3 linked regions of the Oryzias latipes genome follow. The protein of the gene in region 3 interacts with the protein of the main gene of each other region in a pairwise test. Links are inferred from orthologs where the notes say so. Each region holds a gene or a part of one and is shown on either strand. Other genes may lie near its edges. The genes, in order: mrm3, rfx3 and fhl3.

Region 1 (3,753 bases), on a different chromosome or scaffold from region 3:
GTCTCAGAGCCACAGTTGTGGTCAGCTACATGGACAGTCACAGATGCTGGAAGATGGTTTTCAATATCACCCCATTCCAGGTTAGGATAGATGGGAAGCTTGAAGTGTGCACCCATTGCAGCACGCAGGACTTTTGGCTCCCAAGCATCCACACAGCCTGTTGGGCAAATAATAGACAAATTAGTAAAACTACAAGCAGAGTAAAACTTTTTTTTTTTTTTAAACATTGGTATACCTTTTGTTAGAAGGATGCTACTACAACCAGCAGCTGCAGCACACCTGAGCATCGTCCCAAGGTTACCAGGGTCCCGAATGTTGTCACAGATGAGAGAGAGTCCCACCGACTGACCTTTGTTTGCATAATTCAGCCGTGACGGGTCGGACCGAGAAAATATTGCTGCGGATCAAAGTTTCTAAGTTAGAAAAAAAAGACTCAGAATGTCTGTTCATTAGAACTGACTGACCCATACCTATCACTCCCTGTGGCGCCACAACGTCAGACCAGAGTTTGATCTCCTCAAATTTGACTTTCACCAACGCAGCTCTTTTCAGTTTGTCCAAGGGCAGCTCTCTGAGTCGATCCACTGTGCTGAAGAACACCGTCTGCGGCATGGCTCCAGCGTGCAGAGCGTCGCAGATTAAACGCCTGCCCTCCAGGAGGATTTTACCCTGGTGCTCCCGAAATGTCCTGGACCGAGCAACACTCACTAGCTTCCTGCAGCACAAGCATGTGGAGAACAGCCATGAACAATAGTTTGCCATTTAGAATTTATTGGAATAAAAAAAAAAGCATATATAGCTTTAATTTGAAACTTGGAGCGTGATAGTGTTTTAAAAAGATACCATATTTTGGTTAATTGGACAACAATACTATCAATAGAGGCAATATTAGGAAACAAATTTTTAAGTGAAATTGCTAAACATACAATGTATTCTTGTTACCCAGACGGTTAGTTCAGCAATCTCCTCATTGTTGGCATCAAATTGCATAACTACCCTCTGAGGTTGTAGCGATCAAACGGCACTTTCTGCTTTGCTGAAAGCCAGCAAGAGGCAGCCAGTGATTATCTACACGGACAACAGTTCTGGTCACAAATCACATTTAAGTCACAAAGTACATCTGAACTGGTTCTGTTGTGGATACTTCAAATTCAAAGTCAAACTTTATTTACAAAGCACTCCTCATAAAGCAGTAACACAAAGTGGTTTACAGGTTTAAAACAATTAAAAATCCAATTCTAAAACACACAGAATGCCCTCAACCCCTCGCATCCAAAATGAGACTTCAATAAAATGCAAAGTGTGAATGTAAATGGAAACTGTCAGAATTGTTTTTACAAGACAAAGAAAAATTGACCAGTGCTGAGGTACTGGCATCTTAGATGACATTCCCAGAGATTATGGTTACAAAAAGCATGAATAACCCCACTCTCTCCACACACACCCATTCATTTTAAACGGGGGTGGACAACCCTTGACCTCAAAGGCTGGTGTGTCTGCATGTTTTCCAGAAATATTTGCCTTGATTACCAGGATCAGAACCAGAGTTAGACAGAACATGCCAGAGCAGGACTTGTAGGAAAACAAGCAGAAATGCAGCTTTTGGTCACCTTCGTCCTGATTTTAAAGTTTCAACTGAAACCAGTAACCAACTTTAATGTTACCAGACTGTCAAATAAAAAACGAGGCATTTGGCCATCCAAACATCTACCAAACAGTTCTCCAACCCACTGAGTTTGTTTACTCACGCCAGCCTTTTGTCTCCCTGAGAAGCCCTTTCAAAGCGCAACCCATCAACTTGATCTTTCGTGCCAGCAGCCCGGGGATGCTGCACAGTCGAATCTGCATCATCTCTTATCCTCACAGGGTTCTTTTTGTCCGTTTGCGCTGTCGCAGAGGTGACATTTGTCTTCTTCCTCTGTGGGTTTACTGCAGTCTGATCGCTCTCTGGGGCTGGCTTCACCACTTTACCCGTCTGCTGTTCAGGAAATAAAACCTTGGCAGGTTTTCTCCTCAGTCCGCGGACAAAACGTCTTGGTTCCACTATTAAGCCACAGCTTTTTGAAAGAAGCTGTTTGGGGAAAAGGCAAACCATGCTTCTCATGACGGCCGCCATTTTTTCTTTTTTGCTAGTCTTCTTCTGTTTTATTTTTTATTCTTTCTAAAAAGCTACATGTGCTCGTTATTGCCATCAAGTGCAAATTGGCTGGTACTGGTCACATTTTAATAGGAAATTTCAAGAGTTTAATCGATCATGTTCGAGTTATTTAATATATTCTGCAAGCTACTGAGTGTTTCTCATGGTTTAAAGTTATTGACTCAATAATATCGAGTTTTGTTTTAACAAAGTTTTTCAAATTGTCTCGCGAGAAAAGACGTCGCCAAGGTTAGGCGATACCAATGAGTTGTTTCACTAGAGGAGACATCACGTGGTTCCTCATGGGAGGAGAGCACCGCCATCTTGATGAGGTCAAGTTACTACTGCAGTGCATGCATGTGAACACATTTTTTGCATAATACCAGTTCATTGTGCGGGTTTCAACTGCCGAAATCAGAGAACTGAGTCCATGAAGGAGGAAGGTATATCATTTCACAGGTAAGTACTGGAATTTTCATCAATTAATGCTGCAGGGGCTTCATTAATCATACACATGTTGACATGCATGATGCTGCAGGGCTATTATCAACATGCTGCATGATGTACGGAGAATTTGCCGTCGACATAAATGTACACTTTATTTTGCTAAACCTGTATACAGCATACTAGGCTATTATAGTAATACAGATTTATACATTTCTGACTCAGTGACTGAACTTTTCTTGCAGTTTTCCAATGGATTCAGACTTAAGGAAAAAGTGGATCTTAGTTATCAAAAGAGCTAACCCAGATGGATCACTGTGGAACCAACTAGCAATACAGTCTGGCTATGTTCAAAACATTTGTGGAAACACATTTAGATAAGAGGCCAGACTGTTTGCTTGAAACCCAACACCATACCATCTGTGTTACACAAATTGATCATTCACATGAATCAGTATAAATCTATTGTTTTTCTTTGTTTTTGTTATTGTTGTTCTTTTAGGGTAAATCTATTTTTCGCTTTTGGACTTCTTTTGAATATTTATACTATTATTGTTATCATAATAAATACTTATTTTTTTATTATTTATTGACTTGTTATTTATTTATTGTTTATTGACTTACTATTTTATTATTATTATTATTATTATTATTATTATTATTATTATTATTATTATTATTATTATTATTATTATTGACTTATTGTTGGGTTTTCTAAATAATTTAAAGTACATGTCAAAAAGGTTTAAAACTTCTAAATGTTTAGAAATTATTTTACAAATTCTTTGTAATAATTTTTTTATTTGTAAGAAGTCCTGCAACAATGCATTTCATTAAATTTTGAGCTTTTAAGGCTGACTGTTTCTCTTCTTTAACAAAAACAAATGATGTATCAATTAGGCCTGCACAATATACCGCAAATTTATCGTTATCGCAATATCCAGCTCTGCAATATGCATATCGCAAAAGACGGCGAATATCGCAATAAATCGCAAACCCAAAATGTGTTAAAACAATCTTCTAGCAGCTTGAAGCATTTAACACATCAAATAAATCCCTTTATGCTTTGACCAATCAGATGGACGCCTTCCCATTCTTGACCAATCAGATGGAGGCCTATTATGTTAACCCTGGTCCTGAAGAGCCTCAACCCTGCCTGTTTTCCAGCTCTC
Region 2 (3,727 bases), on a different chromosome or scaffold from region 3:
TTACCAAAAAAGCGTCTGTTTAGTAACTGGCAGTTACTAACTGCTAATCAAATACAAATAAAAAGAAAGGCGGTGTGTTGGATACAGGTGGTTTGTTAGGCTTTGTGTCCAGCAGAAGCCAATGCCTGCTTTGTTTTAACATTGTTCTTCCTTTAAAAAACCTGGTTTGATGAAATAGTTTCACCTTTTGCACCCGAGTTTAGTTCAAAAGAAGGACACCATTTGTCTGCAAGTGCTGAAAATAATATTTAAATGATAAATATAGTAACATACATACAAATAAATTGAGTACATTAAATTATTGAATGCATTAATATTTGTCAAAAGAACATCGATAATTAAGCAAATAATAATAATAATAATAATAATAAAGTTATTAATCAACAACATGAGCATAATAGGGGTGGGATTATAAAATTTGACTTCCGCACATTCCTTTCTAAGCAAATAATTTAATTCATTTTGAGAAACTTCACATTAAATGGATTTGATGGGTTATGTATTGTATAGGTACAATCATGTCTATTTATGATTAAGAGTAATTATAAGGACATCATTTACAAGTGGATGTACATAGATTTGTATGTTCTTTTACTTTTATTTCCCAAACCTATATATATATATATATATATATATAAATTCCAACTGAGTGCATGAAAATATATAATTTCTCACCTTTAAATTAAATATGATACAGAAGTATACACGATTTATCAATTGCAATGCAATTTTTGATAAATATACTGCAGTGTAAAACAACCACAACATTGTAATAACATGGAAAACAAAGTAATGGCTAAATACATTTTATTTATTTTTGTATTATTTAAGTCAAGACTTCGAAGTAATTTGATTGAGAGAGAAAAATATCGGGGAATTTATCTGTACATGCCCCCCGAAAAAAGGAAAGAAAAGAAAGACAAAAGCCGAAAGAGAAGCAGTCCAATCAATTCATCGATGGTTGAAATCGTTTTATTCCTTTTTGATTTTTGCCGTAGGTATCGCCGCGCGCTCCTCCCACCTAAGGTTGCGCGCTGCCGGTGAGTTTTATAGCAACTGTTGCCCGGTGAGGCAGCGCCATAGTCACCGTAGTCCTGGCGACTGTAACCCACCAACAACAACCTCTCGCTCCATCATTACCACCTCCTCCATCATCCTCATCTTCATCAACCAGTCCACGGCTCAGGTTTGATTTAAATCCTTGACTATTTTTAGCATAAATGTAAGATGCTCCTCGGCGTCACAGGATATGAATTTTATCAGGGGGGGTTTGATGCTGTTGGTTTGCGTTTTGTCTGCTGTTGGATGAAGGCTCGCTGGGTAGCTGTGGTAGTTTTGCTAGCGAGGGTGTTTCTTTGTAACGTGTTAGCCTGCGTGCTAACGTTGCCTGTGGATACTAACTGAGGCGAGGCGTCCTGGTCGCCAACAGAAACCGGCTGTGTAGCCTTTTACAAAGCTTTACGGACCGGCCCGACTCCATTTTGTTCTAAAAAACGAGCTTTTATTCGCAGAGAATTGGTCTGAAGTTGCCATGCTGAGTGGTCGCAAAGGCTAGCCAGTGATGCTAACTGGTCAGCTGGAGCAGGTGTCTGTTGTTGCTAGGTTGCTAACGCCAGCGATGTCTGTTGCTGTCCCATTTTCGGGTAAATGTTACGGTCGGGTTGTGTGTTTCCGCGTCGGGTGATTCAGCGTTTTTTGCCGCTAAGAAATCTGTTCGTCGATTAGCAAAGGAAAGTGGTGTGTGCTCGCTGGGCTTTCACTCTCTAATAGGTTCACAATAGCTGAGCCTTTACTTTCCCTTTTGTCTTAGGGAGCAAGATCGCGGCGTTAGCTCTCCATCTGTGCTCTTTGTGGGATCAACTGGTAATAATGATAAGAACGCGATAACATCAGTTCTGTAGGGATCAGTTACTACACAATCAGATTTATATTAATGTATTTCAATATTTGAGGTAATACAGGATGTTCTAAATACTAGCTCTGTGCTTTTTTTCACAATATTTACTCAAAAAAATGTATTGGTTAATAAAAAAGAAAAAGTTGTTTTATTTTCAGAAAAAATGTTGGTTTTTTTCAGTGTGTTTATTCATATTTTCTAACTATAATTAAACACACCAATTTGCTGTTTCAATTTCTGCCATTAAACAGAATAAAAACTAAAAACTGGGGAGACCCCATGATCCTCCAGTCGTTTTTTTTTTCCATGTTAAGTTTCTAAGTGTTGCATCACATTTACTCCTGGGTCCACTTGGTCTCCCGCTCCCCTGCAGCCTCTCCTTCCCATTAGGAGAGGGAACAGGTGTGCATGGGTTTGTGTATCTTTGTCTGTGTGTGTGAGTTGCAATAAAAAAAAAACACACAAGGGTGAATTCTGGTTGTGACAGAGGTAGTAGCAGTGCTACTTCGTCACCTGTCTTAAGACCATCTGTAAAAAGTTTTTTCTTTTCTTTCCATCCTTAAGTTTTTTGTTTAAGCCAATTATTTATTCAGCTGTTGTAGTTTTGTTGGTGTGTTTGACCTGTTGCATAAGGCAGTTTAACAGCTTTAGCTACTGATAAAGGATGTTTTGTTAAACGATTATATTTTGGCACAAGGAAAAATTTATAAATGACTCATTGGCTGCAAGATCTAAACTCCAAACACACCTAAATTATCATCCTACCACCACCGTGCCAAGAGATGACTTTCAGTGCTTTCCTTGATTCGCTACATTGAGTTTTTAGCTAAAACCAGTGCTGGCCAATCGTCATTATTAACTTGCTTTCCTTTGTGTTCATTTTTGATGCACTGTGCTCAGCAGGTGGAAATTCGTACAGATTGAAAAAAATTGTAATGCTAGATTTATATACTCTCAATGTTCTTGTGACAACCAAACAATTATTTTATTGCAAAAATCTTCTTTACGCAAAAAAAACAAAACTATTTTCTCTTTTTAGATCTGGTTTACTTCATTGAGTGAGTAATAGTCATACTCATACTGTCAAAATATAGAGTTCAATCAAAATGAGTCAGTCCCCTGTTGCAAATTAGGTATATTAAATGTCAGCTGCAGCAACAAACAAATTAAAATTAGAACAATTGTGTAACAGCTGCAGCAGTCTTTAAATAATTTAAGTCCTTGCATAGAACTGCGGCTGTAGAGTTCAGATTAAAAAAGCCAAATCCATATTGCGATTTGTCTGTGCGTGTGTGTGTGTGTACCGTAAATGTGCAAAGGCTATGCATTATATTAAATCTAAGGTTGCAGCAAACGAAAATAAAAGAACGTAGGAAATAAAATGGATTTAATTGAAAAACATAAATGTAATTAAAGCGAGTTGAATGACTGAAAATAGTTTGGCACAACACAGATGCAAATCTGTGCACAGGCAATCACAGCTGGTTTGCTTGTTATACAATACAGCAAACCCCTGCTGGAGAGGAGTCCTAGTATTTCATCGCCTGACAGATGGATGTGTGTCAAGAGAACAGTTCAAAAGTTAAGAGATGGGGTTTAGCAAACCATACAGTTGGAAACTGTTGCCATGAAATGAAACTAGCTTTCAGGGGCCGTAGATTAGACGGCTCTGGGATGTTTTGACATTTCTAACAATAGAAATTTGCACGATTCGTTCAAATAACAGGAAAGGCTGGGAGACGATCCTAAACGAAATCCACCAATGTTTGGGTTCTGAGGAGGTTTTTTAAGATTTGAAAGGTGGAGTCGCACTTGTCTCCCTGATAAACC
Region 3 (3,753 bases):
TGTGAGGAGACATTTTACTTCCCACTGGGGCCCTGGCTCAGGGGATAGAGTTTCAGACATTTACCAACAAAGCATCCACGGAGGAAGCCTTGCGACCCTCACAATAACACTACAGCACCTGGCAATCCCCTCACAGGAAATCTGAGGTCACTTCCCCCCTTTTTAAGGGAATGCAGACACACTACAACAGCCAGCCACGCGCCCCCACATCCTACCAAGGAGGGAACTGACTACCATAACAACCAATTTAAACATGCTGAAGTTCCAGTGCTACACTTTCATACACACACATATATATATATATATATATATATATGTATATATATATATATATATACACACAAAATGACAAAACCAATATTATTGTTCTCATAGCTGTTTGAGGAGGTTCAATCCAGGGCACTGCATTATGGTTTTATTGTCATAGCACCTTTTTTTTTTAAATTCCAAAATATCTTTATTGTGATTTTCAAAGCTTTATATGTTATAGCACCTTTAATCATTTTTTTACAGAAAAAACCCCAAAAAGATTAGAACCAAAACCTAATACATTACGGACTTATTTAACTTCACCAAAGCCTTGTGATGGAATTATCGGGCCGCATCCCGCCTTTGCCCTGAACTTTTGACACTCCACAAGGATAAGCAGGTACTGATAATAGACAGTGCCACCAAAATTATAACTAATTATTACTGAGACCTCAATAAGTAAGCTTTTCAAACAGGCACCTGATTATTGGGTTGTACTTCACATTTTGAGTGAAGGTGGAGAGTAAAACTATGTAGAAGTTGAAGACAAACGAAACTCTGTGATGTAGGACTGTTGATCAGACACCCACACGTGGGATTTTAAGGCACTGAGCAATTACACGAGCACAAATTGTGCCAATGGAGGAACACACAGCTGCACAATGTCACAAGAGGACTACATCAACGCAAATTCCAATTCTGCTCTCAAAAACCACCTGCAAACACTTGACCGCCAACTCCTCCATCATTACCATTGGCCAGGTTTCAAATGGTGCCAACACATAAAGGCTGCTAAAACCAGTTCAAATTATTTGGTTGCAGTCCTGCTGCAGTTTTGGAACTGGCCAGAGTCCAAAAACCACGCAGAGCTAACCTTTGGAAAACACTGGGACCTCTGAAGAATGTGACCATGGTCAAAGAAATGGAGGCGGTGGGAGGAAAAAAGCAAACAATGACATTATGCAGCTCTGTATGCTCTGTCAAGGCAAACTTCCCAGATGCTAAATGGAACCGAATAAGAGACATGTAGTTAAAGGGTGTTTCCTCTGCTGGTTATCCTTACTGACCATGTAAGAAAAAAACCTGTAGGTGGCAAGAGCACCCCAGCACTCCTCAGACCAAAAACTTTTAGAAGAGGCATACTACAGCACCATGTTGACTTCTATGTCCAGGCTGCAGCTGTATCTTCTCTTGCATCTACTCACAGTTGGATCAGGAGATTTTCTTTTTGTCTACCACGCTGGAGACAAACCAGCAGATTAAAATGTATGTTCTATACTGCAGAAAAAGGATTGCTTATGTTTAAGAGGAGGACATTGACATTATTTCTTTTTATTCATGCTGCAGTTTGTTAGTTGGGTCAAGATCATGAAGAATCAATGCAATTTTTCTCTGTCTGGAAATCAAGATTAAGTTGTTTGTGAAAGACCTTTTAATCTCCCAAAAATTCTGGGATTCTCTTGCAACCGATGTCAGAACAACCCCCAGTTCTTTCTTTGCTGCCTGTTTCAGCAGACTATATTCAATCAGAGCTTAAGGAAGAGCTTTTTGTGAACCAAAGGCATCGATTTAAAACAATCTCTTCCTCTATCTGTTATACAGACTGTTAAACTTTTTACAGTCAAGGCTGACCACCTCACCCTCCCACTGCACCCACATGACCCAGCAGGTGAGCCAAACTGTCATCACAATGACACGTACCATGAGGTGCTGCACGACTCCAGACGCTACAGCATAGACACACCCATTGCACACTCTTACTGCTATTTGCCACTTTCCCCTTTTGCAGAAAAAAAGAGGCAAGTTTCGCCTGTGGGACTTAGTCCTGTGAAGGCTTCACTTGGAGCTCAGCTTGAACTTCTCTGACAAAACAGTTGCTCCTGAATCCTTCATATGCACAGTTCAGAGGGTCACACAAGCTAATATGGTCTGTTTCTTCATCGGAAGGATGTTATTTATATTTCCTCCGCCTTGTACACTCTACGAGTGTACAGAGGGACACAACTGAATTACTGAATGAGAGGGAAGGGAAAAAGTTAAAGACAGCAACAGCAAATTTAGACAATGTCTAAACACGCAACCAGATACTTCTACTTCAGGAATTGTAGATATTTGGTTGAGCCTACTCTCAAAACCCTTTCCCCCCCAACTATACTTTCATTCAGTCATAAAGGACTAAGTAATGGACTTGAAAGAACCCAGATTATCTTATATATTCATACACACCTGTGTTTGATTTAGGATCAACAGGTTACTCAATGAAAATGATGGAGCCAAAATGTCTCTTCTTACCAGTCAGACTGATTGAAGTGTGGAGGCACCTTTCCAAGCTGCTGTGGTGGTGATCCAGCCGCCTTCCTCCCGTCAGCACACGGCCGCTCAGGTCAGCACACGGCCGCTCAGGTCAGCACAGGGATCAGCTCACAGAAAAAGCTCAGGAGTGTCGCTCTCCGGCTCTGAAACGTTCTGTTTTATCTGCTTGTCATTAGCTCGTGCTGGTTTGCGGCGCCTTCCATTCGTGAAACCCGGGTTCGACTCCGGTCTGCTCCCTGTTCCCTTCTCTACCTCTGCCGGTTCCAAGCCCGGTTTGAGAAGGTTGCGTCAGGAAGGGCATCCGGCGTAAAACATTGCCAAATTTACCATGCGACTTGTTCGCTGTGGCGACCCCTGATGGGAGAAGCCGAAAGTGGAAGCAAAGCATGAAAACTCTGCAGCACAGAGGGGTGCAGCTTGCCGGCTACTTTTGTCCTACTACTGAGGAAGTTGCTGGTGAGTCACAAGATCCCGCCCCCCCAAAAAAGGCATTCCTCCCTCCCTCTTTCCAGCGACTTCAAACAAGAGTGGAAAAGGCCCATGCAGGCAAGAGGGGAGATTCTTGCAAGGCTCTTTTGTCTCTTCAACATTGCATTGCAGTGGGTTATAATAGAATTTTGTTTGTTTTGAGTTTAGAGCAGAATATGTGAAGCCTGCATGTCATGAGATGTTTGAGTGTGTGGACCACAGGTGCTGGAGGCTTCTGAAGGATTTCTTTAAAAATAGCAAAACCATCAATGAAATTACATCACAGGATTATATGTATTATTATTATGGTTGTTGTTTTGAAAGGGAGGGACATAAACAATCCTTCCAAAAATGACCACGAAGGGTTAAAGATTGATCTAATTGTTAAATTACATTCCTCTTTTTTTTACAGTGTTTTAAGTTCAAATGATTCATTTGTGTTAAGACAAACGAATAAGTCGACTTATTCAGGATTAAGCTGACCTATGCTCTGACAAAGTGAATGCTCTTTACTTCAGTGTTAATCATTAAAAACACGAATCATTATTAATTTAGATTTTTTTAATAGAATTTAATGACATTTTACAAAGAAAATGGAATTAACTATTCAAACTCATGCATTGCCTTTCCTTTTAAGATATTTTCTCTCTTTTTTAAGACAAAAAAGACAAAAAACGCTTTCTCTTTACTGTTGATGTAAGACTCCTTTTTTAAATAAAAGTG

What was found.
Region 1: the proteins of fhl3 (region 3) and mrm3 interact in binary tests that used the Homo sapiens proteins (3 or more experiments, as listed by UniProt). The two-hybrid records come from large-scale screens. The link is inferred for Oryzias latipes from reciprocal best matches to the Homo sapiens genes FHL3 and MRM3.
Region 2: the proteins of fhl3 (region 3) and rfx3 interact in binary tests that used the Homo sapiens proteins (3 or more experiments, as listed by UniProt). The two-hybrid records come from large-scale screens. The link is inferred for Oryzias latipes from reciprocal best matches to the Homo sapiens genes FHL3 and RFX3.

What each region holds. Positions count from the first base shown.
Region 1 is NC_019871.2:10,297,187-10,300,939, reverse strand, and holds the start of mrm3 (rRNA methyltransferase 3, mitochondrial), read right to left. Parts: upstream 2,327-3,753; 5' UTR 2,117-2,326; coding exon 1,749-2,116; intron 716-1,748; coding exon 471-715; intron 398-470; coding exon 236-397; intron 158-235; coding exon 1-157. UniProt on the Homo sapiens protein: S-adenosyl-L-methionine-dependent 2'-O-ribose methyltransferase that catalyzes the formation of 2'-O-methylguanosine at position 1370 (Gm1370) in the 16S mitochondrial large subunit ribosomal RNA (mtLSU rRNA), a conserved modification in the peptidyl transferase domain of the mtLSU rRNA.
Region 2 is NC_019870.2:13,046,847-13,050,573, reverse strand, and holds the start of rfx3 (transcription factor RFX3), read left to right. Parts: upstream 1-876; 5' UTR 877-1,186; intron 1,187-3,727. UniProt on the Homo sapiens protein: Transcription factor required for ciliogenesis and islet cell differentiation during endocrine pancreas development. Essential for the differentiation of nodal monocilia and left-right asymmetry specification during embryogenesis.
Region 3 is NC_019874.2:23,737,250-23,741,002, forward strand, and holds the start of fhl3 (four and a half LIM domains protein 3), read right to left. Parts: upstream 2,830-3,753; 5' UTR 2,542-2,829; intron 1-2,541. UniProt on the Homo sapiens protein: Recruited by SOX15 to FOXK1 promoters where it acts as a transcriptional coactivator of FOXK1.